Linked DNA regions of Cricetulus griseus. The protein of the gene in region 1 binds, or shares a complex with, the protein of each later gene. Links are inferred from orthologs where the notes say so. Each region holds a gene or a part of one and is shown in the gene's direction. Other genes may lie near its edges.

The links.
Region 2: the proteins of Tle6 (region 1) and Ooep are in contact, whole or in part, in a cryo-EM structure (PDB 8H94), measured with the Mus musculus proteins. The link is inferred for Cricetulus griseus from reciprocal best matches to the Homo sapiens genes TLE6 and OOEP. Residues at the interface, in NP_444484.1 of Mus musculus: Trp256, Ser258, Phe304, Thr305, Arg306, His307, Val318, Asn320, Val322, Asn323, Glu332, Ser333, Asn354, Ser355, Arg356, Leu373, Ala374, Ala375, Pro376, Ser377, Leu378; in NP_080756.1 of Mus musculus: Arg32, Pro33, Trp34, Trp35, Pro37, Gln39, Glu40, Glu67, Trp70, Met71, Gln73, Gln94, Pro95.

Annotation. Positions count from the first base shown.
Region 1 is NC_048598.1:102,346,424-102,358,969, reverse strand, and holds the start of Tle6 (transducin-like enhancer protein 6), read left to right. Parts: upstream 1-8,354; 5' UTR 8,355-8,534; coding exon 8,535-8,585; intron 8,586-9,385; coding exon 9,386-9,447; intron 9,448-9,762; coding exon 9,763-9,808; intron 9,809-10,169; coding exon 10,170-10,211; intron 10,212-12,293; coding exon 12,294-12,359; intron 12,360-12,449; coding exon 12,450-12,546. UniProt on the Homo sapiens protein: Component of the subcortical maternal complex (SCMC), a multiprotein complex that plays a key role in early embryonic development.
Region 2 is NC_048597.1:189,441,216-189,457,425, reverse strand, and holds Ooep (oocyte-expressed protein homolog), read left to right. Parts: upstream 1-9,016; 5' UTR 9,017-9,206; coding exon 9,207-9,396; intron 9,397-9,553; coding exon 9,554-9,739; intron 9,740-10,023; coding exon 10,024-10,118; downstream 10,119-16,210. UniProt on the Homo sapiens protein: Component of the subcortical maternal complex (SCMC), a multiprotein complex that plays a key role in early embryonic development.

The DNA of each region.
Region 1 (12,546 bases):
GTTTCATCAGGCTTAAACCAGACCCTAGGAAAAATGTTCATGCCATTCAACCCAAAGCCATATAGTCTTTGCCATGACATGACACCACAGTGTAAGCCTGCCCCAGCTGTTTCACAGGTACTTAGATGTCCCTGCTATGTATCAGGAAATCTGGTCCAGTGGAAGCCAATACCAGTCTCTAGTGCTCCTCTTTGACCCCACCCATCTTCAAGCTATGCATGGAGGCATTTCCCACCTCCAGAGAAACAGCAGATAAGATGGCTCCTGGAACACATCATCCCTCCATCATCCCCCAAGCTCCTGGGACATCAATGCTGGTACCACTTCTCCAGGCTCAAGCAGGCATCTATCCAGCAACGGGGACCTGGCTTTCCAAGATGTCCCAATGAAAGGCATATCTGCTCTCACGTCTCGCTCATTCACCCGTCTCTTTTGTACAACCACAGCACACCTCCATTTCCCTCTTTCTGGCAGTTATCACTCTTCCCATTGCTAGCTGAATTCATAGGGCTGCTGTTAATGATCTATATTTTCTCTAGCAACCTGCTTTCTGCCTCCTCAAGGAACAGATGCCTGAGTTCTCCATGATGGCAGCTAACTAAATGCTTATTCATTCACACTGCCCAGTGAGCATGAGCCCACCTCCCCCCTCTCCACACCATCCCTTGCCAATAAGAAATAGCCACACTTGATGGGATGTTGGGAATCTCTGTTCTGGTTTCCCTCCTCCCACTCCAGACCCGTCGCCCTGAGAAAGCCCTCCAAGGGACAGCTTCTCCCCAGAGCTGATCAAGACCACAAGGTATTTAAACCCTGGTCACCAGCCAGGTGGTGGTGGCACACGCCTTTAATCCCAGCACTCAGGAGGCAGAGGCAGGCGGAGCTCTGAGAGTTCGAGACCAGCCTGGTCTGCAGAGCAAGTGCCAGGACAGCCTCCAAAGCTATACAGAGAAACCCTGTCTCGAAAAACAAAACAAACAAAAAGCTTGTCTCCAGCAACACACACTTCTCATTACAGAACAAACTCCAAAGTAAATACAATATAGCTGACATAGTACAAAACAGGATGTTTATTAAAATTTTTATCAGAAGCATAATAAAATATTAGAGCCCTGTGACTCTATGACTGAGGCACTTGGAAGGTGAAAACAAGGCTGGGCTTGGGCTAGGCTTGTGGCAGAGTACTCATCTAGCATATGTGCCAGGCCCTGGATTTGATTCCCAACACCCCCTAAACAAAGGAAGACAAGAAAATGAAGGTATTGCCATATTACTAACCAAAAAGAGGAGCTGGAGAGATGGTCCGGGGGTAAAGGATGCACACTGCTCTGGTAGAAGACCTATATTGTTCCCAGCAGTCACACTGGGGGGTTTGTACCACATCTGTGGTATCTGACACCACCCACCTCCAAAGACCATGCACCCACTTGTACAATCACACACACACACACACACACACACACACACACACACGTACACACACGCATGTGCACGCACACACACACACACAAAAAAAAAAAAAAAGAAAATTAACTTTTTAGAAATAGAGAAGGCCAGGCGTATTTTGTGCACACATGTGAGAGACAGAGATTGGGGTGGGAGTTCCTCTGAAGTTTGAGTCTTAGGCAACACAGTGGGATCCTTCTTCAGGGAGCTGGTGAGGGATTTCTCCCTCCTCTGAGGTCTCACAAAGAAAATCGATTAGGTGTCACAGCTAAGGTTTTCCCAGGTCGTCCAAGTAAGTGAAGGTTCTCACCAGTGTGCTTTTCTCCACTTACCAGAGGGTGCTTTCCACATCCATGATGCTCTTTCTGTGTAGGCTGAGCCCAAGAACCTGGGCTATGCTTGTCCAACACCCCACCACAGAGCCATACTCCACCAATGGCCCCTTAAAGATTCTGTCTAGATTTCCTTTTTTTTTTTTTTTTTTTTTTTTTTTTGGTTTTTCAAGACAGGGTTTCTCTGTGGCTTTGGAGCCTATCCTGGAACTTGCTCTGGAGACCAGGCTGGTCTCGAACTCACAGAGATCTGCCTTCCTCTGCCTCCCGAGTGCTGGGATTAAAGGTGTGTGCCACCAATGCCCGGCTAGCATGGATTTTCATATGACCTCAAAGGGATAGACATGAAGGCTTTCCTACACTGCTTGCACTCATAGGGTCTTTCCCCAGTATGTGTCCTCACGTGTGCATGATGGGACAAGGAAGAACAATATGCTTCCCCATGCCTGCTGCACAGATAGGGCTGACCCTCCCTGTGTGGTCTCATGTGCTTCCCACACTGTACACTCACAGGGTGGCTCTCCGTTGTTCGTCCCCATGTGTCTTTTAAGACAGGAATAGAAGATGAAGGTTTCCCCACATGCATGACTTTTCTCTCCTCTGTGACTTTTCGTGTGTTCCATAGAGGAGGAGGAACAGGAGAAAACAGTCCCACATTTTGTACATTCCAGAATCTTTGTCCTACTAGGAGTCTGTATGTTTTTCTGATGTTTTCCCAGAATCTTGACACTACTCCTCTCAACATCAGTCTGCATCTGAGGGTATTGGCTCAAAGCAAAATAGCAAATGCACAAGGTTTATTAACTTGTTCATCCAACCTTGACAGGGACCTGTCTAGCAAGCTGACACAGCAGCCTCCAGAGGGGGTGAAGCTCCCTGTCTACTGCTAGGTTTTAAAGACAAAAGTTACAGGATTGCATCAGTAGGTACGGGTTGGTTTCTGATTGGCTGACATTTGGGAACAATGAGGAGAATTTCTCAAAGTCATATTTTGGCATGAAATTCCTGTGTACTAGGTATTCTCATTGATCAGTGCTGAGAGGGAACATTCTGTGGTTTCTATCTATGGCTTTGTCTTGTTACTTGCAGGTGGCCTATTGTTCATAGATACCAGTAGTTTTTAGAACTGTGTCCTGGAGACTATAGGGGAGGTTTCAGTCTCCCCTGGAGTTTCTTTTGTGGCCAAACAGTTCCCAGGAACCAAGTACCTAGGAGGCTGGGGCCAGGGGTGGGGGTGGGGGGTGGGTCTGGAGTTTATGTTTAGTTTTGTCCCTAAGCTCCAGGAGGCCAGAGGATCCGGAGTTTCCTTGTGTCAGAGGCCTACGTGTCTTTTCTGTAGCCTGTCATGGCTGCTAAAGCAGGGGCTGAGTGAGGATCTGGTCCCTTTATTTTTAAATTGTTAGAAGTGAAGCCTTTTAGTTTAGTTTACCCCTTCCACTGAGCTTTGTAGTATCTGTGAGCTACTTCACACAGCCCACAGATTGATGCCTGCTGATGACACTCACAGACTGAGTCCACTTTCAGTCTTGGTGTCTGTTTTTAAATCTTGTCAGGGCATCATGGTTATGTGAGGGACATTCTTTCACATTTACAAGGATTCCAAGGGTCAAACTCAGGTTGCCAGGCATACGTGGTAATCACCTTCACCTGCTAAGACACCTCAGCACTTTGTATATGCCTGGTATACAAGTGTTGCCTTTGCATGTTCCTCCACAGCCATGAACGATATTAATCTGGCATCTGTGGCCTGATAGGAAATTCAAATGAATTGCCCTTCACATATGTGACGCTGATACCATACACACAAAATACTTCCTTGGCTGGGGCATGGTGGCAGAGGCAGGCAGATCTCTGAGTTTGGGACCAGCCTGGTCTACAGAGCGAGTTCCAGGACAGTCAGGGCTACACGGAGAAACCCTGTCTCAAAAAACAAACAAAAATGAAAATCCTCTGTGTACACATTTGTATGGACTGGGTGGAGCAGGTGGCCGGGTGCTCAGACACTTCCCAGCAAGCCTGCTGGCTGACCTGAGTCCAGTCCTGGAAGACACACACACACCGTTTGTGTTTTCAGACAGTCTCTCTACATAACCCTGGCTGGCCTGGAACCCACTATGGAGACCAGGCCAGCCTCGAATTTACCTACATCCACCTGCCTCTGTCTCTCGAGTCCTGGGGTTAAGGGTGTATGCAACATGCCATGCCTCCAGATACTACACTTTTAACCCATCAAGAGATTAATTCATTCAGTGCGGGCTGGTTTTGTGTCAAGTTGACCCAAGCTAGAGTCATCAGAGGGCCGTAGCTGAGGAGACGCCTCCATGAGATCCAGACGTAAGGCGTTTTCTAATTAGTGATCAATGTGGCTGCAGGTTCTATAAGAGCGTGGGAGCCAGCTGGCTCCACGGCCTGTGCTCACTCCTGTGCTGTTTGGTGACCAACGGCGATGTGGCCGTGCAAGCCTCATCAGCCCTCTGCTCCCCACCTGCTTTTGTCCTGGTGTTTTGTGACAGTGACAGGAGCCCTGAGACGCTGCTGTCCGCACGATCCGGCCCTCTGGAAACAACCGGGAGGGAGTGAGGGGCGCCCTGCTGTGGGTTAACCTGACTCAAGGTTCTCCATCTGCAGTTCATCCGCAGCTGCGGAAACGGCAGTCCAGGCGCGCACTGACCCCGTGTGGCAGGGGGCAGCGGGATCTGCCCCGGGGAGGGGTCGGGGCTGACGGCGCACACGCCAGGCCTCCGCCCGCCCCGACGCCCCCGCAGCCGCGCACGCGCAGCCGCTCATCTCGTTCCCATGGAAACAGCCCCTGCACCGTGACGTCGGTCGCCGACCTTTGACGTCTGGGCGGCGGCGTCGCCGGACACCGACGCGAGGCACGTTAGTCAGAGGGGAAGACCAGCTGCCTCAGAGACTGAGCCCCACTGTACCGCAACGTACTTCCGTTTCCGGACCGAGCAGCCTGGTCCAGTTCCAGTCAACTTCCGGTTTCTGATCCAAAGAATTTCCGGCCGCTTTCCCTGGACAAGGAAGCCAGGAGTAAAGAGGCTCTGTGATTGGTGAACTATGAAAGGTGGGCAGGACCATGCAATTCTCCAGTAGCCGGTCCCCAGCCGGCAGGGCCCGTCTCTGCTCGAGCGCGATTGGCTGCTGACGCTGTCAGAGCCCATCCGAAGTCAAATAGCGGGATGGGCGGGGCTTAGCCTTGGCACCGCCCCCAGGGCGTGGTCGCTCCCTAGCGCAGCGGTCATATTGAGCGCCGCAGGGCCGGCGTGGGGAGGGCGGGGGCGGGGCGGCGTGGGGAGGGCGGAGGGCGGGGCGGGCGGCGTGGGGAGGGCGGGGCGGCTTGCAGCCCAGCCGTAGGCCCGAGTTCGAGCCCCTCTGACGCCCCTCATGGCCTCTGTGGCTGCCGTGCCCACACACGTCCTCAAAACACACACACACAAACACACACACACATATATACATATATATATACACATACACACATATATACACACACATATATATACACAAACACATACACATATATATACACACACACATATACACATATATACACATATACACACACATACACACATATACACACATATATATACACATACACACATATACATATATATATACACACATACACAAACACACATATATATACACACATATGTACACATACACACACATATACACACAAACACACACATACACATATATATATATACACATATACATACACATACACACCATACACAGACACACACAGAGAACACTCCGTCATGGTACTAAGTTCCCCGGAAAGCGCACAGTATGACCAACAGAGGGAACTATTCCTCCTGACTGGCTTTTTTTTTCCTTTATTTTTTTTTTAGTTTTTTTTTTTTTTTTTTTTTTGGTTTTGTGTGTGTGTGTGCATGTATGTGTGTGTATGTGTATATATGTGTGTGAGAGAGAGAGAGACAAGGTTTCCCTCTGTAGACCAGGCTGTCCTGGAACTCACAGAGATCCACCTGCCTCTACCTCCCGCCCCTCGCCCCGCCTGTCTTCCCGGAGCGCAGCCACAGTGATCCCCCTGCATTCTCACATGCATGAATTTTAACACGGAATAACATAACGCGGGCTGCGGTGGGGCGGGGCTGTCTGCAGAGCGAGTCCCGGGACAGCCGGGCCGCAGACACCCTCTCCACAACTGCAACAAGCAAATGAAAGTTGGGGAAAACACAGTACAACATGAACACAGCAGCACTGCAGATCACGTCAGTCAGTCGTGAAATACAAACAGTGTAAGAAGCAGCAGGGCGAGCGGGCGGGCGGGCGAGCGGGCGCCGGGCCTGCACACCGAGTGGCGCTGAGGGGCCCTGGCGGCTCCTCAGGGGACCCAGAGAAACACCGCATGCTCACGCCCACTGGACGCCAGCGCGGTCTGCAACGCCCTCCTGTGACCTCGCCCGAAGCTGCACTCGCGTGCACCGGCCCACCAAACGGATACAATCAGCAGGAGAAACTGCATACAGTAAACGAGGTCATCACATGCAATGAACAGCATGTGCAGCACCCCGGCTCTCTATGACTGAAAACAAAGACAAAGGGGACTTTTAGAAAGTCTGTCGTTAATGCTGGGCAGTGGTGACGCGCCGCGCGCCTTTGGCCCAGCACTCGGGGCGGATCTCTGAGAGCTCGCAGGTCTCCTGCCTCTGCCTCCCGAGTGCTGGGATTTATTGTTTTACTTTTTACTATTTATTTACATGTATTGTTTACCTCGTAATACTATTGGTGTTCTGAGATAGGCTCTGCCTCTAGCCCAGGCTGGACCTGCACTCACGGAGATCCTGCTGGCTCTGCCTCCTGCGTGCCAGGACGGAAAGTGCGGCCCCACCCCACCCCACCCCACCCCCACCCCACAAAGAAGGCGAGACTTGTTCAGACAGGGGTGATGTCAGCGCCACACAAGGACCATTTTTACAGAAATATTTTACACGCCAGTGTAAAGTGGTCAGGGTGTCATACTAGGCACGACCGCCAGATGTCGCGACAGAGCCCCCTTCCCGTCAGCTTGGGGGCCCAGGGCAGCCGCCAGCCCTGGGAACGGAGATGTTACGGCCCCGCCCCGCTGCAGTGACAGTCTCGGCTGACGCGGATAACGATGGCGTGAGGACTGTGCAAAAGCCCTGGGCAAGATCAGGACCAGGGGAAAAAGAAAAACATTCACCTATACAGGGCTGGAGAGCTAGCTCAGCGGTTACCAGCACTAGCTGCTCTTGCAGAGGACCCGGGTTCGAGTCCCAGCACTCACATTGGCGGCTCTGGTTACACGGGATCCGACACCCTCTTCTGGCTTCTAAGGGCACCAGGCACATGTGCACACATCCACTAATTTGGGGGGGGGCAGAGGGTTGAGACAGGGTTTCTCTGTGTAGCTTTGGAGGCTGCCCTGGCACTCGCTCTGTAGACCAGGCTGGCCTCGAACTCACAGAGATCCGCCTGCCTCTGCCTCCCGAGTGCTGGGATTAAAGGCGTGTGCCACCAACACCCAGCTTTCAATTAATCTTTTTGCATTTTACTTTATGTGTACGTATGTTTTCCCTGCATGTATGTGTGTGCACCATAAGGCCAGAAGAGATCTTTGGATCCCCCGCAACAGGAGTGACACACCACTGTGAGCCACCATGTGGGTGTGAGGAATCGAACCAGGGTCCACTGAAAGAGCAGCCTGTGCTCTCAACTGCGGAAGATTCTCTCCAGCTCACCCAGATTAAAAAGAAAATCATTCCAGGTGTGTATGTGTGTGGTGTGTGGTATGTGTGGTGTGTGTGTGTGGTGTGTGGTATGTGTGGTGTGGTGTGTATGTGTGGTGTGTCTATGTGTGGTGTGTATAGTGTGTGTGTGTGTGTGTGTGTGGTATGTGTCGTGTGTGTGTGTGTCTATGTGTGGTGTGTGGTATGTGTGGTGTGTGTGTGTGGTGTGTGGTATGTGTGGTGTGGTGTGTCTATGTGTGGTGTGTCTATGTGTGGTGTGTATAGTGTGTGTGTGTGTGTGTGTGTGTGGTGTGTGCACGCACACGCGCGCGTTCACCTTCCAATATGAGGGTCCCGGGATCGAACTAGGATTCACAGGGCTTGGCCGCAGTCTCCCCCGCACCCCTGGCCTTCGGTGATTGACAGCTGAGCCACAGGCTGAGCAATCAGCAGCCCGGATCTGAGGCCCACGTGGGGCTGCGGCCTTCTGATTGGCCAACGCCTGCAGGGGCTGCTGCAGCCGCCGCGAGCCCACGTGCGCGGTGCCCGGGGCCCACGGGCTTCCCTCGGGGGCGCGGGGTGGGGCGGGGCAGGGCGGGGCCGGGCCGAGGGGTCAAATGGCGCAGGGCCCAGCAGGAGGGGCTTCCTGCAGGCCTGAACTTGGCTGACCTCCGCCGCCTCAGGGGTCCCGGGGCCTCCCGGTCCTGAGGCAGTGCGTGGGGGCCGCTCGCTTCCGGTAGGCAGTTTGCGCGGGCTGCGGGGGCGACGGGGCTATGAACCAAATGCCGTTCCTCTCTTCTGCTCATGTCTTTAAACGTGTTTTCCCTGTGCACTCGGTGTCTGCGTGTGCGTGCGTGCGTGCATATAAGACACACACACACGTGCACGCCTGGCGCCTCTGCTCGTGCTCTGGGGCCCGCTGCACGCGGGGACAGGGCGGCTCCTCCGGCCGGCCGCTCTGCCCCACCCCGAGCCTGCCCCCCGCAGGACTCCCCAGCGCACACCGTGACCTCCAGAACCCCAGATGACTTCCTGCAGTCAGCGCAGCGGCGCCAGCGGTGTCGCTGGAACTCTGGTGAGACGCGCGGAGGGCGCGGGTGGTCCCAGCCTGGCCCGGCGCCCGCTCGCCCGCCGCAGACCCCGCTCTGGGACAGCCCTGCACCTGGACCCAGCGTGCAGGTGAAAGCAACTCGGGAAGACCGGGCCAGGCTTCCCCAATGTCCCTCACGGGCCACTAGCGCGGGGCTTCACCTGGCCCAGGGCACGGTGAGGGCCCGCCCGTGGGGCGTGGCCACAGGTGCAGCCCCACCTAGAATCCGCCCCGGAGGGCTGGGGGCGTGGCTGGGTAGAGCCCCGCCCACCACGCTGAGCCTGCCTTCCATCTGTTAACACTATATTGTGATTAAAGTCATCCTTAATCCCAGCACTTGGGAGGCAGAGGCAGGCAGAGTTCCGAGTTCGAGGCCAGCCTGGTCTCCCTTCTCTGAAGGTCAAGGACATGCTAAGCACAAGTCTGTAACCATAACTGGGTTGGCTCCAGCCAGGGTAGAGTCTCAACGTGTAGCTTGCTACCCGCTTGGGGTCACATATCCGTTATCGAGCATATCAGCTATTTGCATTCCGATTCCTAACAGTAACAGAGTTAGTTGTGAAGTAGCAACATGGGGGTCACCACAACACGCAGAGTGCTGTTGGAAGCATCAGGAAGGTTGTGAACCAGGGTCTAGACTACAAGGTTCTACCATGGCTCCTGCATAGCTAGTCCGTACCCCAGGAGTTCAGGGACTTGGAGAAGCTGGACCTGACCGGCCACCTTGGGAGGTGTCTGGGAGTTGGTGCTGCAGGCTTTTTGGTTCTGACCTCTGACCGTTCCAGCCTTCCAACTACTCAAAGAGGTACTCCTGCATCATTGAACAGCTGCCAGAGAAGCTCAACAGGTGAGGCTGGCTTTCCTGGGGCTGGTTTCCAGTGAAGTGTTCCTTTTGGCTTGTTTTTAAGCCAGGGTGTTGACTTTTGTAGTCGTGCAGGCTGAGATGGAAGGGTGGCAAGTTCCAGGCCTGCCACCAAAGCCTATGACCAAATAAGCAGGGGCAAAGCCCTGTCTTGCAGGTGCAAAACCCTGTCACGCTTAAGAGTTCTGGATGGCACCTTCCCCTCCATTTATAGATTAGGCGACTCACCTTGTGGGTTCTGCCCTAGGGCAGATGCAGGGACTTTTTCTAGAAGGATCCTCAACTGCTTCTCCCCCTCAGCATCCTCTCTGAGATGATGGCCCAGCTAGACAACCTCTCCAGCCTGGTAAGCCACCCTGGTGGCCGGCAGCTGAGGGGCATAGCTATGACAGGAGGGGGGGATGTGGGCAGCAGGGAGGCTGGCAGAGGAGCAGGAGGGCCTTGACGGCTGCAAGAAAAAGTTGGGCTTTGATTTCCCATTGAAAACAATATAGTAAGTAGTAGTTTAAAGTATTTTAAATAAAAGTATTTCATTTAAAAGTGGAGATGAGCAGCTGGAAGGTGCACACCTGTCATCCCAGGATGAGGAGCTGGAGGCAGAAGGACGGGCCTCTGCTATAGTGTGTTGGAGGCCAGGCTGGGCTCCAGGAGCCCCTGTTAGGATCAGAGAGGGGAAGCAGTTTGCTCAGGGTCTGCTGTGATTTTAGGTGTCCAAGGTCAATCAGTCCTTCGAAGAACACCAAAAGCAGGTGAGTTGGGGACACCTTCTCTCCCAGGGGGAGGGGTGGAGATAGGAATATATGGCGTCTTTGATTCCAGGGAGGTGGGAGGAAGTTGATTTATATAGAGACCTCGGGTCTAGCTGTGGCCCATTTTTCCTGCCCGGGTGCCACGTGCCCTGGAGCTTCTGGGTAAGGGCTGCACACAGGTCCTATGCATGAGGGGCAGGCGGGCCTTCGAAGGGGTGCCGGGCTCTTCTCTCCCACCCCCACCCCCTGCCCAAGCCAAGGCACGTGTGTCCTCATTCACCGCCTCTCCTGCCACCTGGCCCCTTCTCAAGGGCACTGGCAGGAAGGAGGCGCTGCTCGGGGCCAGATGTCACTGGCAGGGAGCCAGGGCCAGGACTGCAGCTCAGTGAGGGGCGGGCGTAGGGGGTGGGCAGCGGGGAGGGGTGGGCAGGAAGCCGCCAGAACACGACTGTTCATTCACAGTGCTCAGCCACCATTGGCCGGGCCAGCAGAGATGCCAGGGGAAGAGCTCTAGGACTGGGGACCGAAGCGGGGACGGTGGGTGGATGCCAAGAGCTCCTGGGCAGGCGCTTAGGGGGTCGGCTACAGCTCAGGGTGCCCAAGAAGACGCACTGAGTAGGTCAGCAGGGGCAGAAGGGATGCTCTTGTTTGGGAGAGGGACGGTGTCCAGGCAGGAGGAGGAACAGCCGCTCTGCAAAGGCTGCTGTGTGAGTGGCAGGCAGGGGCCAGGCAGAGCTTGGGGGGCTGCAGGAAATTCTGGGCCTTGACTCCACCCGGTGAGCAGTAGGAGTTCTGGAAAGCTTAGTTGGAAGAGCGAGGGGACTAATCAGGCCTCAGGTGCAAGGGTGAAGAGCCAGGGGCTGGGCTCTAGTCATTGAGGGAATGATTGACAGGTGCGTCGGGTCAGCCACTACAAGCAGGTTGTGATATCCCAGGCAGCTCTCAGTAGCTTCTGTAAGGACTCAGGTATTATGCTGGCCTGCCCTGTCACCTGGCAGAATACACTCAGGCAGTGCCTGGTCAGCCCAGGGTTCCTTGGGTACTTAGAGAGACCTCCGCCCACTCAGGCTCTCTTTCGCTCTCTTTCCCTTGTTCCCTGGGGCAGACAGGACTTTTCCTGTCTCCCTCTTCTGTCCTATCTGACTCTTTATCTTATTTTCTTACCTCCCCGTTAATAAAACTTTAAATGTGAGTCACGTCTACCTACAGGTCTGTTTCCCCATCAGCCCACTGTCCGTTGCCCGCCTTGGGACCGGGAAACCTGCTACCTGCGGTCCCAGCCCATTCTTTATTCCTAACAGCTCGTGGCTTCCCCATCCCCCTTGCTTTTATCGCCCCCAGCCTCACTCCCTGAACTATCTCTGCAGCACAACCCCCCCTCCCCCGGGAACAGCAGGAGGGAGCTACGGGCTGGCTCTCCCTCCATTCACTCTGAGCGCCAGGCGCACTAAAGTGCCAGTAAATTGCACATTAATGAGCCAGGGGGGACCGGGAGGGCTCCCCTGGGCTTTGTGCAGCCCCGGGCGGGCGCTGCCCTGGAATCCATCATCTCCTCCCTGGGAGGCAGCCCCCTGGGTCCCGTCCTCCATCCCGGGGGCTCCCCCTCCAAGGGGAAGGGGGTGTCCACAAAAGCCCAAAGGGGAAGGAGCAAGGCTGCTAAAAAATAAAAATAATAAAAATTTTTAAAAGCCGCAACCCATGGCTGCTGTTTGAGTCTCTGGCCTCAGTTTCCCTATGTGCAAAATTACACTAAGACCTTTAATCTGTGCTGGGGACGAGCCCCTGACCCTTTGTACTCAAGGGCTCCAACCTGAGCCCTAATTGTGCTGTTAATTGCTTTTTTGAAGTTTTTTTTTTTGTTCGTTTGTTTTGAAACAGGATCTCAAACTCAGTATGTAGCTAAGGGTGATCCTTCTGCCTCACTTAGCCTTTTCGGGGAAGGGTGGGCAGGTGTGCACCGCTATGTTTGAGTGTGTGGAATGGGTTTATCCCCAGGTGCAGAGCTCCAAGAGCATTGCCACATTCCCCCTACCTACTCCATAGTCGGTGCCTGCCGTGAGGTTTGTCCCTAACTTGTTCTAGGTGGGCAGCCTCTTCCAGCTGATGGAAGTCTTCAGCAGGTCCCCGACCATCCTAGAGATGGTTAAGGTGAGTATCCCCCCTGGAGCTGGAGGGGAGTGGGGACAGGTACCCTGGGCAATGCCGTGTTACTCACTAGGCTCCACGGGCTCTATCCAGGCTGCCCAGGTCTCCACTGAGAAAGAAGCCAATCAGGGTCCAGAGGCTATGGCCTCCCAGGACCCCAAACTCAAAGCCACCTCAGGACCTCCGCCAT
Region 2 (16,210 bases), on another chromosome or scaffold:
AGTTACTATAGTGCTTCCCTTGCACACCGAAAGCTCTGCCTTTTGTCCCTCAGGACTGCATTAGACTGCTCCTGGAGGCACAGAGGTGTGGGTTCAGCCTTTGGGAGATTGAGATGTGAAGATCTTAAGTTTCATGTCGTCCTTCTCTATATACTGAGTTTATGGGTAGCCTAATGATTTCTTGTAAATGGTCTCAAAAAGGGAGGAGTTAGGCTCCTGGCTACTGTCCTGGTAGAGGAAGTGGATGAAAGAGGAGCCCATAGAGAAGATTTCTCAGAGGTGGACAAGACAGGAGGAAAGATGCTCTCTCAGTGTTAGTGCAGACACTCCGTTCGCCTTAGCCAGGCTAAGCCCAGACTACATAAGCATTTACTGCAGCCACTGACACCCATAAGCAGCATGGAGAGGCACACTTCATTAATTAGCCAAAGAACCAGGCCAATTTTCCTGCCAGTTCCTGTTGAAGGCTTATTTTCCTGCCAGTTCCTGTTGAAGGCTTATTCAGGGTGGGTCATCTGATGGAAAGATTTGTCATGTGACAGCTAGTTAAAATGACTTAGAGACTATTCCATAACATGGGACATGTAGGCACCAGTCTCCTCCAGTATGGTGATCAGAAATACTCGAGAGAGACAAGATCACTGGGCGTTGGTGGCACTCGCCTTTAATCCCAGCACTCGGGAGGCAGAGGCAGGCGCATCTCTGTGAGTTTGAGGCCAGCCTGGTCTCCAGAGCGAGTGCCAGGATAGACTCCAAAGCTACACAGAGAAACCCTGTCTTGAAAAACAAAACAAAGAGAGAGAGAGAGAGAGAGAGAGAGAGAGAGAGAGAGAGAGAGAGAGAGAAGATCATGAAAAGATATGGTGGAGGAAGTCTACCCTTTTGTACATTGCTCAATTTGGAAGCAACTCCTACATTAGAATGGGGATGGAAACAGCATTTCTCACTAAAGTTGTCAGGGAATCCGCTCACAGTGACATGAAAAAGTAAGTTATATGTACCCGCAGATGAAAAGGAAAAGGGACAGACAGCTCTGCCAACCAAAGTGAAGACATTAACATATGTTCCACATGCAATGTATAGCACTGTGCTCAGGCAAAGCATGCAAAGTAAGCAAACACTCTCTCAAGACTGGCTGCCGAGCCTCAAAGCTGAGCACTTACTAGACACTCTAGAACAGTTCTGAAGTAGCCAACCTTTCTCTAAAGACCTCACATTTTGGTTTTTTATATTCAGAATGTTTATAGGCAGGCCTTGTGGAATTTTTTGGTGCCCTAATGCAAAGAACTGACAACAGAGGGAGTGCAGGAACTGGACTGCGTTCACGTGGCTCTAAGTAGATTTGGATGCTGGCCATCAGGCCTCATACATTTAGCTCTTACTGTCACAGTCTGTGTAATGTGTGTCAAGTGGAAACTGAATCCTTGATCTTCCTGAACCCCATTCTGAATTATAAAGCTGTACTTGAAGGGAGTCATGAGAGCAAATGTTTGTCAGGGCAGTTATCAGTTCCACTCTGTTTTCCTGCCATGAAGCTGCCATGACTTTCTCTGTCGTGACTATGTTCCCAGTGTCTGCAATTTTGGGACATTTTTGCTGGAGGCGTGCCAAGTCCCAACAGGGCACCAGTGAAACTTCAGCAAAGAAGCAACCAAAATTGAACAAAATACCTAAAGGTACTGTGCAAATCCAACAATAAGGATAAATTATGAACAGCCGTTATAATTATCATCAATGCTATATGCAAAACTAGGGAGAGGTTTAGAAGAATTTAAAACTATTTTTGGTTCTCAATTCACAGTTTGCCAGTAGAAATTCAATGCCAGAATTTTAAGATGAATTTAAAAGTAAAATTGTCTTGAATAACGCCTCCTGTGTTATTATATATGCTTTGGTTAATTTTCAGAAGCCTAGAGCATCTAAGATGCACTGCAGAGGGCAAAACTGGTGGCAGTCTATTTTCTCATGCTCACCAATGTCACTCCATGAAACATAATACTTTGAGTATTGCTGGTCCATGGTTTGTGAGCAGGTAACCTTGAGAATTTGTATTCGAGACTACATGGCATGAATTGTAACTCAGATTAGTTCTGGGTTAGTTCATCATCTATTAGGCTTAAAGTGATCATTATGAATGATGGGGTACTGGTGGCAGCTGGATGGCAATTATCAAGTGCTCAGTTTTCCCTTCCTTTCATGTTCCTCACTGGGTCTCTGCTTTCACTGAGAAAACTCCGTAAGTTACACAGCCTAGGTTGTAGAGCACAGCCACACACAGCAGCCTGATGTGTGAGCTAAGCAAGCACTGCTTTCAGAGAATATCATGAGTCACAGCATCCATGATTCTCTCTTGCTCTGTGACTTCCAGGTTCCCAGGAAAGTCATATTTAAAAGAAATTTTTATTCAAGAGGAAGAGTTTATAGCCTGTGAACAGGTATGATCAACTTTCACTGTCTGAAGCAGAAATCCTGCTCTCTCTCTCTCTCTCTCTCTCTCTCTCTCTCTCTGTCTCCCTCCCTTTCTCCCCCTCCCCCCTGCTATTTCTGGCTGAGTTTGAATATGCAAACATGACAACATTCATTATAGATACTTGAGTCTGTTTTCTTGAACAGTAAAAGAGCTGGAGAGATGGCTCAGAAGTTAAGAGCACTGGCTGCTTTTCCAGAGGTCCTGAGGTCAATTCCCAGCATTCACATGTTGGCTTACAACTATCTGTAATGAGATCTGGTGCCCTCTTCTGGCCTACAGGCTGACAAGCAGACAGAAGACTGTGTACATAATAAATAAATCTTAAAAAAAAAAAAAAAGAAAAGAAAAAAGAAAAATGAACAGACCCTTAGCAACTGGTACCTTAAGCACAAGGGCATTTGCAAAGGGCAGCATGCAAAGGGCTACACAGTATATGGTAGGCCTGCTCCTCCTTGTATACAATATCTCTTCCTAGTATTCAGCATTATGTAGTAGATGTCCTAATAGGATTTTCTAGTGAAATATCCTATCCTTATTTCCTGAGCCTTGTTTTTTTTTGGCTTTTTGAGACAGGGTTTCTCTGTTGAGCTTTGGAGCCTATCCTGGCACTCGCTCTGGAGACCAGGCTGGTCTCGAACTCACAGAGATCCGCCTGCCTCTGCCTCCCGAGTGCTGGGATTAAAGGCGTGCACCACCAACGCCTCTTCTATTGCCAAGGTTTCTCCTATCTACTCAGTGTTGAGGAAGAGAAACCAAACCATATGTCACTAATTTGGGTGACACGGTCCTTCTAATGTCTCTGTTTCTGTGATTGCAGGAGCCCTGGGAAGAATATCAAATTGTGAGTATGCTAGAATTCCTTGGTGGGGGAAAATGTAGGTGCTGGGTGTGGCACCCTTACTGAATCTTTGAAGGGACACTTACTTGTATGTTCCTGGAAGGGAAAGGATAGTCAATGTGTTGAAAAACAAAATTGATTCTCTAGGCAAAGTTGTATCGTCAAGTTCTCCAGTTGTTGGCAGGAAATGCACTCACCTTGAGTCTATGAAAGGTTGTGTACTTGAAGAATGCAGAGTTCTTGTGCCCCTCGTGGTTCTGAATGTGTGTGTGATGTAGTATAAGGTTACATGTTTTTTTTTAGGAAATATTCCTACTTGTACACAGTAGTTGTTCTCAACCACTTTCTCAAATACCCTGGCAAACATACTTTTCATGAATTTTATATACTTCAACTCATCCAGTGTATGGTTCATATGTACCTAGGAACTGTTACTTCCATTGAAAAGAGCCTCCACTGCTGGGCATGGTGGTGCACATCTTTAATCCCAGCAGAGACAGACAGAGCTCAGTGAGTTCAAGGCTAGCCTGGTCTACATAGTGAGTTCAGGAGAGGCAAGGCAGAAATACCATGTCTCAAAACAAAGTACTCTCCACTGTTCCATGAATCACAAACATGAGAAGAGATTTCCACAGAGGCACGATCATTCAAGTAGAATAAAACACAACTATACTTTGAGCTTTCTGGTCAGTTCACAGATTCTTTTTTGTGGTGATTTGAAAGAAAATGGGCTGTAAAGGGAGTGGCAGTGGATAACATGCACAGAGGATAGCAAGTACTGTGGATAGCAGTAGTTATCTGCAGAAATGTTATCCGCAATGCTATCTGCAGTGTTTGTTATCTGAGGTGCTTGTTATCCACAGTGCTTATATCCATGGTGCTTGTTATTTGTGGTGCTTGGAATCATGCCCTAGGAACTGGTCCCATGTATAAAAGTTGGTGAAATAGTTTAGTACACATGATAACATAATCATGAGCAATGCAATGCTTATATGTGACTTCTTTAAAACCCTAAGGAGAAGCCGAGCATTGGTAGTGGCAGACAGATCTCTGTGAGTTTGAGTCCAGCCTGGTCTACAGAGCTCATTCCAGGACAACAGACTCTAAAGAGACTCTAAAGTCACACAGAGAAACCCTATTTCAAAAAGAAAAACAAACAAACAAACAAACAAAAAACAGGCTTGAAGGTGGCAGCCTACTAAGAATCAGTAAACATGGCCAGAGTGTTGGCACACATTTTTAATCCCAGGACTCACTCAGGAGGCAGAGGCAAGAGGATATCTGTGAGTTGGAGGCTAGCTTGGCCTGCCAATGAGTTCCAGGCTGGCCAGAGCTACAAAGTAAGACACTGGCTCAAAAATCAAACAGCAGCAAAAATGCTAAACGAGCAAAAAGGGTTGATAAATATATATTAAGTTTTAAAAGTAAAATGCTTTATAAAAGCAGCAAATGCATAAGTTATAGCATAAGCCAACATTATACTGTATATAATATTAAAAACAATTTTTGGGGGGGCTGTGTTTTGAGACAGGGTTTCTCTGTAGCTTTGGAGCCTGTCTTGGAACTCTCTGTAGACCAGGCTGGCTTTGAACTCACAGAGATCCACCTGCCTCTGCCTCCTGAGTGCCGGGATTAAAGGCATGTACCACTACTGCCCGGCTCAAAAGCAAATATTTAAATGAGATATTTTGACAGCTATTGAGCAGAACAGAAGAAGGGACTGGACTCTGGCTAGTATAATCATACCTCTGTTTGTACAGCAATTCCCCATACCCCAGTCCTATTCCAACAAATGTACCAGTCTGACTGCTGTGGTCAGTGTTCACTCCAAGCTGTCTGTAAAGTGCACTGTGGCATGAATATACGCAATCATATAACCATGACAGCAGTGTGTCACAGATGGTGAATTTACAATCTGTACTGAGATGTCTGACTGTTCCTAGGTAGGCAAGTGGGCTTATTCAAGTTCAGCACCACACGTAAGAGTAGGTGACTTCTGTTGATATTATATATACCCTATTCCCTAAGTAAGTGGGTTCCTGCATGTGTCATACAGTGAAGGGAACTGTAGGAAGAGATAAGAATGAGAACCCCGTGCAGACTGACTTCATCAACCTGGATCAGACTTCAAGGAGTCTAACACCAGGCAGTTCATTGTCTGTGGCACCCGAGCCACAACTAAGTCCGAGTATTGGGCAAAACCTGGAGATTTAGTTAAACACAGAGATGTCCAGCCACTTGTGCTATGTGTGTCTTTCCATCTTCATTCATCTGCCCATTTTCTAGGGAGAGAGCAGCCTTATATACACTTACAGCACAATGGAAAAACCCAAGATATAAGAGCTCCTGGAGCCAGGCGTTTGTGTCGCACGCCTTTAATCCCAGCACTCGGGAGGCAGAGGCAGGTGGATCTCTGTGAGTTTGAGGCCAGCCTGGTCTCCAGAGCGAGTGCCAGGATAGGCTCCAAAGCTACACAGAGAAACCCTGTCTCAAAAAACAAAACAAAACAAAACAAAAGAGCTCCTGGAAGAAGAGCTCGTGTTTTCTCAGGTGTAGTGGGGCAAGGCTGGGGCTGTAAGCCAGGACTAGAACACAGGATGCACCTGTGGTTATTGGCTGACAAGCAACTCACAGAGACCCTGTAGGGTCTAGGACCCAACAATTGTCAGCATATTTAAGACTCGGTGCAATTTTGGAAAAGGTTTTCAGGCAACAATCAGTCCAATTCCAGGTACACAATAAAGCTTAAGGTATGACTGCATAGAGACCATGTGGCCATGAGGGGTTGTTCTCTAGCTAAAAGGCCTAGAATCTAGTGTGGTCTCTGACAGATAGCATAGAGGTCAGCAGCCATGAAGTACATGAGGGAAGAGTCTCAAATAATCATTCTGGGGGATTTGGGTGAGGTCTGCCACCACAGATAGCAAGGTCACCAAGTCATTAACAAAATCCACTCCTCAGCTTTCTGGATGGAATGCAGGTATTTGATTTTTGTCTTCTCCACTGAGGAGACACCCCTGCATTCCTGGTTCTCTTAGGGCTTCTCTGTGAGCACAAGGACCTCTGGGCCCCCAACATTTTCTCACTTCTAATTTTTAAAAAGAAAAATAGTGGCCATAATAGATGCCAAGATTGAATGCATCAACTCTTTTTTTTTTAAGATTTATTTATTTATTTATTTATTATGTATACAGTGCACCAGATCACATTACAGATGGTTGTGAGCTACCATGTGGTTGCTGGGAATTGAACTCAGAACTTCTGGAAGAACAGTCAGTGCTCTTAACCCCTGAACCATCTCTCAAGCCCCTGAGTGCATCAACTTTTAGCTAGTCAAATAATATAAGCAAGAATAAGATAATTATTAGAATAGCTAGCAGTGGACTGAGGAAAGGGGAAGTCATCCTTAATTCACCCATCTCTTGATTAATTTCTGCTAATATTTTTTGCTGTGAGCAAAATGGGTGTAATACAGCTATGACAAGGCCATCATGCAGTGCTTCTAGACCTAGGGGCTCTCAGGGAAGACCAGTAGGGGTATAGATGAAGAAGGGTTCCATGGGAGGTAACCTCTGAACTGCACCTCTAAGGGCCAGTTACTCCCTAACCAAGGCCTGGCCGTGAGCAGGAACAGAATGTTAGAAAATTCCAGAATGCATAGAAAAGTAAAGCCAAGACAAACTAGCCTCTGGAGGAATGATATTAGGAGACTCATGGCCATAAACAATCATGATGAGACCCTAAAGTGGGTATCATTTAGGGGAGAAAGTATCATGGCTGTAAGTAGCCACAATGTGGCCCTGAAAGGACACAGTCCCTTCAGTTTCATAACACAAAGGTAGTTTCTGACTATCAGGTTTTCAGAGGCTGTGGTCAGGTTCTAAGCCATGTGACCTTCTCAACACTCTGCTGAATACTTGGCTATGCTTTTAAGTCAATAGGAATTCTAGGCCTCTGATGGCTGTGTGCTACTTCTGTTACCCACTTCTGCTCCAGATCCCCTCAAAGCACAGCCAGACATCATCTAACAGAGAACAAAATTGATTGCTCCATGGCAGTATCCCTACCAAGACATCTATCGACCATTATAAACTACATGAAAGAGCAAAGTACATGCTGTACAGATGTAAAAAGTTCAAAATGAAACACCTCATTTTGTAATTAAGAAATTGTAGGTAATTAAGAAATATGAATTAGGAACTGGAGAGATGGTTTAGCAGTTAAGAGCACTACCTGCTCTTCTAGATGACCCAGGTTCAATTCCTAGCACCCACATAGTGGCTCACAACTGTAACTCCTGTTCCAGGGGAACCAACAGACACACGTGCAGGCAAAACACCAATGTACAAAAAAATAAGTGAAACTAAAAGAAATTATATAAATATGAATTACTAGCTAGGTGTGGTGGTGCATGCCTTTAATCCTAGCACTCAGGAGGCAGAGGCAAGCAGATCTCAAGTTGGAGCCCAGCCTGGTCTTCAGAGCAAGTTCCAGGACAACCAGGACTACACAGAGAAACCCTGTCTCAGAAAAAGCAAAGAGTAAAATTTAGAGAAAATAGAATGATGTCTCTCATAATAATCTGGTGCCTGAACTGAAATGCATTTATACTGGTTCCTTCCAGGGATGACAGGGAAAATGAAATTGTTGGAAGTCTTGGTTGTAGTTGCTCAGTTTGGGTTGGGTACAAGGAGCATACATTAGGCTACAGGGAAAATGAGGGCACAATAATCACATGACCTCCACCTGCCTCTTAATCACTCTCAAACCAAGACACCTGGAGGTAAAATGGTGGCACACCTGACTCAGCAGCTCCTGTTAAACAGTAAAAGCATTTTAAATCTTTGGAGGCTGGCATGGGCTTATCGAGTAATATGCAGTAATAAATATTTGGGAAACTAAGATTCCAAAAACTCTGCCTCCAAAACAAAAGGAAATCACAACGCAACTGTCATCCGAATGAGGATGACCAGGGTTCTTATCTTCCTCACATCTTCACAAAACTGATTCCCACAAACAACATGGTAGCTAGTCCCAGCTCCCTGTGGGAGTCTGAAACTACAGAGACAAGGTACATATGGGCTTGGTCTATGTTTGTGAAGTAGCCTCAGCTGGGAGCATCTCAGGAGACTAGCTCAAGTGAATGTATGTACCTATGGGAGCTTCAATGACATCTCTACCTCATGCCCAATAGGGACCCCAGTGTTCCAAGTTTCCAGTGGTCAGGTAGACTTGTCAGCACTGCTAACAGAAGCAGAGTGGAGCTCAGGACAGAGAGGATTCCTCTAGGAATCAGCAAGACATACAAACCTTGCCAGGTATCATTGTATTACGGTTAAAAATGATTTTTTTAACCTTAACCAGAAGATACCTACAGAGAAAATAGCAGTTTAGACTGAAAGAAGAAATTCATGCATACATGACTTAGGAACTTAGAAATAAATGAAATTAGTCAAACTTGTTATGTGTTTCAGTAACCACTTCTGCCATTTAGTTTAAAACATGGCACAATTGCATAAAAGACTTCTAAAGGCAACCACAGTTCAGAGCTGGAGAAGACAGGACACAGCGGGGGTGAGGGGGCATTCTACAAACCCTCCTAGCTCGCCCTGGAGCCCATATGGATCTTTGAAAGTAACACGGAATTAACTAGACCACTGGAGTTGAGTTAAGTCAAGTCACCAAATTAAATTTTCAGAGCCAGCAGTATACTGGGCAGGGCTAGGATGCTGACAGTCTGAAGACCCGACAACCCCGCCCCCTCAGCCATGGCCCCAGCTGTTACTCGCTCTGACTGGGGGCGTGGCACACAAGGGGCGTGGCCGGACCGCACATTGAAAATCTCGGCTGTTAGCCCCGCACCGTAGTATCTCGTGATTGCAGTCTGAGAGTCCCAGTATGGAACCCAATGCTACTGAAGATCACGCGGAGCAGAAGAGTCCAACGCGGAACCGTCCTTCTAAGAAGCAGCTCAGCACCCCTTCTGTGTTACCGCGGCTTCACGTGCGGCCCTGGTGGTTCCCAGAGCAGGAACTCAGCGATCCTCTCGTGCTGTACATAGAGTCCTGGCTGGCAGACGTAATCTTTGGTGAGCCTCTAGGGGTCTGGGTTAGCTCCCTGTATTCTATAGGGGCAGCAAGTCCATACCTCATTCCCCAGCCCAGTATTCCATCAAGTCCATCAGAGCCTGCCCCTTCCCCCGCGAAGTCGTTCTACTTACTGATCAGACTCTTCTACCTTTTTAGGCCCAAACCAATCCTTACTCCCCGAATTAGAGTGGATAAGCCAGGCTTTGGTGACAATGGACATAGTTGACTCTGGCAACTTAGCTGAAATCACCATTTTTGGACGACCCGCCGTAAAGAATCGATTGAAAATCATTCTCTTGAACCTGGTAGCATGGCACAAAGAAAACCGCCACATTGTAAGAGGTAAGGGCCTTTGAAGACCCTTTGAAGCCACAGGACGATTCCCAGCTTCTGGAAACTTTCTCACAACTTCAAGTTTCCAAACACCAGGCAACCGTAGTGTCCCTGGGGATCCCTTTCGGAGGAGACCCTTGAGAATGAAAGCACAGGCTGGATACACCCGGGGCCATCACCTTAGGTATCACTCTTCCCAGATTCCAGGTCCAGGACCAGAGCCGCCTCCCTTCCCAATCAGGGGGAGTAGATTCCATTTCCCCTCTTGACTGGTAGTGTTGTCCCTCTTTCAGCTATGAAGATGAAAGAACGTGAGGAATTATTGAAGTCCTCTCCCTCCAACTCAAACAACCTGCCTGAGCCAGTGCAGAAGGCACCTGCTGACTGACAGGCAGCCCGACTTCAGCCCCTGGAGGTGAAGAGCAACATGACAGATTCTTATAGTCACTATACTTGTTTTCTTTCTTGCCTTTGTGGATACCTGTTGGTTTTCCTTTGCAAATAGCAGTTTGTAGAACTATTCTACAATGTAGAAATGACTTTTTTCATCACATACAATAAATTTAAAAGCATCATAGCTATCAGTTGATGTGAGGTGTGTATAGGTTGTACTCCTGCAATTTCTAATACACAACTTCAGTCAGGCCCTCGAGGATAACTTTATTAAGTGCAGTGGTATTTTGCCTGTAGGTATGTCTGTGGGAGAGGTGGAGTTACAGACAGGCGTGAGTTGCCATGTGGATGCTGGGACTTGAACCCAGGTCCTCTCAGTGCTCTTAACAACTGAGCTATATCTTCCCCAGCCCCCAACCCCTTTGTACACACCCCACCCCTCAGGACAGGATTTCTCTGTTTAACAGTCCTGGCACTCTGATTTGTAGACCAGGCTGGCCTTGCAGAGATCCACCTGCCTGTGTCTCCCGAGTGCTAGGATTAAAGGCGTGTGCCACCACTGCCAGACCCCTTTGTACTTTTTTTTTTTTTAAATTTTAAGATTTTTATTTATTATGTATACAGTCTTCTGCCTGCATGACCAGCAGAGGGCACCAGATCTCATTCAAGGTGGTTGTGAGCCACCATGTGGTTTGCTGGGAATTGAACTCAGGACCTCTGGAAGAATAGCCAGTGCTCTTAACTGCTGAGCATCTCTCCAGCCCCCCCCCCTTTGTACTTTTTACCTGGCTGATTTTTTTTTTAAACAACCTGCTGGCTGTTCTCCTCCTTCCCCTCTTCCCTACCCCACTTCCCATGCACTCCTCAGTTTCTCTTCAGAGAAGGGCAGGCCTCCCATGGATACCAATCAAACATGGCATATCAAGTTGAAGGCTGGATGAGGCAACCCAGTATAAGCAATACGGTCCCAAAAGTGGACACAAGTCAGAGACAAGCCCTGCTCGCACTCTTGGGAGTGTATAAGAAGACCAAGCTGCACAACAGTAACATACATGGTCCCTCTGCAGTGCCCAGGTCAGTTCCGTGCAGGCTCCCTGATTGTCTGTTCAGTCTCTGAGCCCCTATGAGCCCAGGTTAGTTGATTCTGTGGGTTTTGTGTCTTTGACCCCTCTGACCCCCACAATCCTCCTGTTCTACAGGAGTCCCAATTACTTAGTTGATTTAAGGCAGTGGTTCTCAACCTGTGCGTGGAAACCTCTTTGGGGGTTGAATATCAGATAATTTGCAACATCAGATATGTTTAGACTCTTAACTGTAGCAAAATTAATTACGAAGTAGCAACAAAATCATTTTATGGTTGGAGGTCAACACAACATGAACTCTGTATTAAAGGGTTGCAGCATCAGGAAGGTTGAGAACCACTGATTTAAGGTGTGCAAGAATTCACTTTGGGAGTCCTCAAAACAATGTCCCAGGGATTCCTGGGGATTTGCATCTCTAACAATCTCAGTCTGTTGAAACACCCCTTTAGGCCAATCATCTGTAGCTGCTGGAGGGAGGGGGCAGGCTGGCCTGCCGAGTTGCCAAGAGTAGTCCTTGAACCTATCAAGCCACTCCTAGGAGTTGTAGTAAGAGCTCCAGGTTGCAGCTTTCTTGTCATCCATGTTGGGTAGCCATGCTGCAGATGCTTTTGAGTCACCACTGCTCCTGTAAGCCACCCTCACCCAGACTCCTGTAACTCCAATTAAAGTCATTGGTTCACCAGTCAGGATTTGGATGCAGTAATAACTTTGGTCTGTTGTGGGTTCCCTTACTTCGGTGAGTAGACTGTTCTGTGTCACCCTAGGATAAGTCTTTGTCACAACATCCTGATGTCTGGGATATGATACATACGTTCTTCATGGACCATGACACTGTGATGGTCAGTCTGTAGGACCACACCTACCCTTCCTGTCACCACTTTAAGGAAGTGGGATTCCTGGTACAGAAAGTACATGAGGCCTGGCTTGGGGACACAGGCCTGTAACCTTGGAAGCAGAGGCAAGCAGATCTGAGTTCAAGCCCAGACACAAACCTAGTAACCAACAACTTCATATTGGAATTAAAGATGAATTTCTGTTTAAGCCACCTACTTTGTGTTATTTTGTTGTGGTAACCCAAAGGTTTTTTTGTTTGTTTTTCCAGACAGGGTTTCTCTCTGTAGCTTTGGATCCTGTTCTGGAACTAGCTCTTGGAGACCAGGCTGCTCTCAAACTCAGAGATCCGCCTGCCTCTGCCTCCTGAGTGCTGGGATTAAAGGCGTGTGCCACCAACGCCGGGCTTCAACACTATGATCTAGGTAGGACATGGATGCCCTGCTTTTTAAGTCAGTGCTGGAAAACAAACTTGGTTCCTTGAGTTTTAGCAAGTGCTATACCTACTAGCTGTATCCCAGCCTCATTCTGTTAGTCTCCCACAGCCTAGATGGGGATGCTGGATTGAAACATATCCACTCTGGAACTTAATATAATTGATATATGGCAAAGAATGACTTTACGTTCCTGATCCTCCAGATTCCACCACCCCAGACTGGGATGAGAAGTGTGCATCACCATGCCTGTTCTACCCTGAGGATATTTAAGTAGAGTGAGGCTGGGCCAAGTTGGTACATGCTTTTAATCTCAGCACTCGGGAAGCAGAGACAGGTGGATCTCTGTGAGTTCAAGGCCAGCCGGGTCTACAGAGTGAGTTCCAAACAGCTAGGGTTACAAAGAGAAACTCTGGCTGGGTGGTGGTGGCACATGCCTTTAGTCCCAGCACATTGGAGGTAGAGGTAGGTAGGCAGATCTCTGTGGATCTTTGAGTTGGAGGCCAGCCTGGTCTACAGAGTGAGCTCCAGGACAGCAAAGTCTACACTGAGAAACCCTGTCTGGAAAAACCAAAGAGTGCTCTATCGTTCTCTTCTTCACTTCTGAAGATCCATGTTAGTTACATATTAGCTTTATGCCAAGCACCTAAACTGGATGCTTTGAATGCAAACACCTGACTCAGCTCCCAGAGCTGGGACAGCAGCACCAGGATAAGATATGGACAAAAGCAACAATTCCATGATGCAGGCCTAGCTGTGTCTGCCCTTCCATTTGCTCTTTCTGCTTTATGTGTGCTGTGTGTGGAGTGAGGAGTTTGCCTAGGCCACAAACCTGTGCAGAAGTCTGAGAGCAGCTCTGTAGTTGGTTTCCTCTTTCCTCATACCTTCTATGTGCTCTTGGGCTCATATTTGGTCATCAAGCTAAGGAGGCAAGCTCTTCACTGCAGAGCCATCCTGCCAGACCCTCTTTTTGTTTGAGCATGTACAAAGATTTTATTTGACCAAAAAACTTGTTGAGGAACAAGTAAGACAATATAACGGGTCTGAAGGATGATACAAAGGACAGAGAAGGAAGGACACAGGCTATCACACATGCTGAAATGGGTTTGCTAAACAAATTGACCAACTACACATACACACTTCTGCTACATTTTCCATGTAAATTAACAGCTGCAAAGCCCTTTTAAGCCCAGTTGTTTCTCGGCCATTATGCTGATTGCAACCAGATTTTGAACTCAAAACAACTCAAGACACCTTCAAGACACCTGAGTAGAATAACAGCTCAGAAAAGGTTTCCAAGGAGTAACTCAGTGCTGCTCTGTCCAGAAGCCAAGCGCACTGGGCTCTAGAAGTATCCGGAAAGCCTCTGAGCTGCAGGGTTCCTGGGTAGGGTTTTAATGGTGATGGCTAGGTCCTACCTGCCCCAGGGAAGACAGAAGCAAAGTTCAAGAGCTCTTGGCTGCTGCAGGGGGAATGATGTTCCCTTCCTTTCTTTCTTGCAGGTAACAACATTTGCCATTTAAGCCTTTTTTTTTTTTTAAAGATTTTATTATGTATACATTTTGCTTCCATATATATATCTGCACACCAGAAGAGGAAACCAGATCTCATTACAGGTGGTTGTGAGCCATCATGTGGTTGCTGGGAATTGAACTCAGGTCCTTTGGAAGGGCAGTCAGGGCATTAACCTCTGAGCCATCTCTCCATTCCCCCATTTGCCATTCTTTTTTTTTTTTTTTCCGAGACAGGGTTTCTCTGTGTAGCTTTGGAGCCTATCCTGGCACTTGCTCTGGAGACCAGGATGGGCTCGAACTCACAGAGATCCACCTGCCTCTGCCTCCCGAGTGCTGGGATTAAAGGCGTGTGCCACCAACGCCCAGCCTCCATTTGCCATTCTTGTTTGAACATTTTCAGCTCATGTTTCCAAACATTTAGCACAAGGTGTGTGTGGGGGGGAATGGGGATTCAAAACAGCGGACTCCACTTTTCCCAATGTCTAGGGCAGAAACAGAAGTACTAGGAATGGCCGCTGGAGATTCCCATAGGTCAAAAAAGAGCTGGGTTCCATTCTCATGGATTCCCTGGAAAACTTGCTGAGTGGCAGCCTCTGGGAACTACAAGGAGTGTGTTTGGTGACTTCAAGGACTGCTGTGACTGTCTCAGGGTTTCTTTTGCTGTTACAGGACTGCAGATGCCTTTAATCTCAGCACTCGGTAGGCAGAGGCAGGTGGATCTCTGTGAGTTTGAGGCCAGCCTGGTCTACAGAGTGAGTGCCAGGATAGGCTCCAAAGCAATACAGAGAAACCATGTCTCTCTGGAGAAACTCACCAGGACCAAACCAACTTGAGCAGATACCCTGGGAAGCCAGGAGCTGATACAGAGACCACGGAGGAGTGCTACTTACTGCTTTACTCTCCGTGGCTTAGCTTTTTATACATCACTCCATGATCACCTGCCCATGGCTGACACCACCCACATGGGCTGGGCTCTCCCACATCAATCCCTAATTAAGAAAACGCACTACAGACTTGCCTACAGGAAATCTTTTTTTTTTTTTTTTTTTTTTTTTAAAGATTTTATTTATTATGTATACAGTCTTCTGCCTGCATGACCAGCAGAGGGCACCAGATCTCATTCAAGGCGGTTGTGAGCCACCATGTGGTTGCTGGGAATTGAACTCAGGAAGAACAGTCAGTGCTCTTAACTGCTGAGCCATCTCTCCAGCCCGCCTACAGGAAATCTTACGGAGGCATAAACTGAGAGTTTTCCGGGATGACTCCAGATTGTGTCCAGTTGACATAAAACTATGCAGGATGATGGGAGAGCTCTGTCTCAGCCTAGTGAGCCAGGGGAGTATTGTGAGGGATGGGAAGATGTCTCAGAACTTAGCAGTACTTGCTTTGTCTTGTAGAGTACCCAGGTTCAGTTCCCAACAATTTCACGGCCACTCAAAAACAAACTCCAGTTCTGGGGGATCTAATGCTCTCTTCTGGCCTCTGTGGCCACAGGCATGAAAGTGGTGAACAGAAATACATGCAGGCCACACTCAAGGGCATGGGGGAAAGAAAAGCGGTGTTGGTTGGCCCCACCTGTGTCAGCATTCCTTGCCACAAAAAGTTTCCCCTGTTAGCTCCAGGAGTAAGAATCAAGGATTCCCAAGCACAGCCATTTATCTTTCTAGATCCTTCCCCCAACTCAGTCTTTTCCTAAGAGGTTATTTCCAAATGAGCCAGGATTGGCTGGTGCTTTGACCTGGGTAGTTTGTAGACATGGTCAGTTAGCTAAGCTCAATGTATCTTGTGGTAATGAGGCAGCCCTGGTACCAAAGTTTCAGGCTTCATGGTTCCTGTACTCACCTTGAAGCATCGTATGGGTAACACCAGCCATACAGGATATCCTCTGCCTTTATCTGAACAGGAAAGAGGGAGGACAGAAGAGTGGGTGGCTCCACAGAACTTGGGGAGCCGAGAGAGGGGATGGCATGAAAATTGGGCCCCAGTCACTGGAGAGGCTTTCATGGGGTGACATGCCCCAGTGGTCTCAGTAGATGTATTGTCAGGGGCCTCTGCCTTCCCTTTCTTGTCTAGTCAGCAAGCATTATATCCACCAGTTAGGCCTCTAGATGACCCGCTTTTGGACTCTTTGGGTACTAAGTATATAACCTGTCAGACAACAGGCAAAAGTCTCCCAGCACCTGAAATAATGTCCCTTCTTATTGCTGAAGTTAGCTGTTTGAGGCC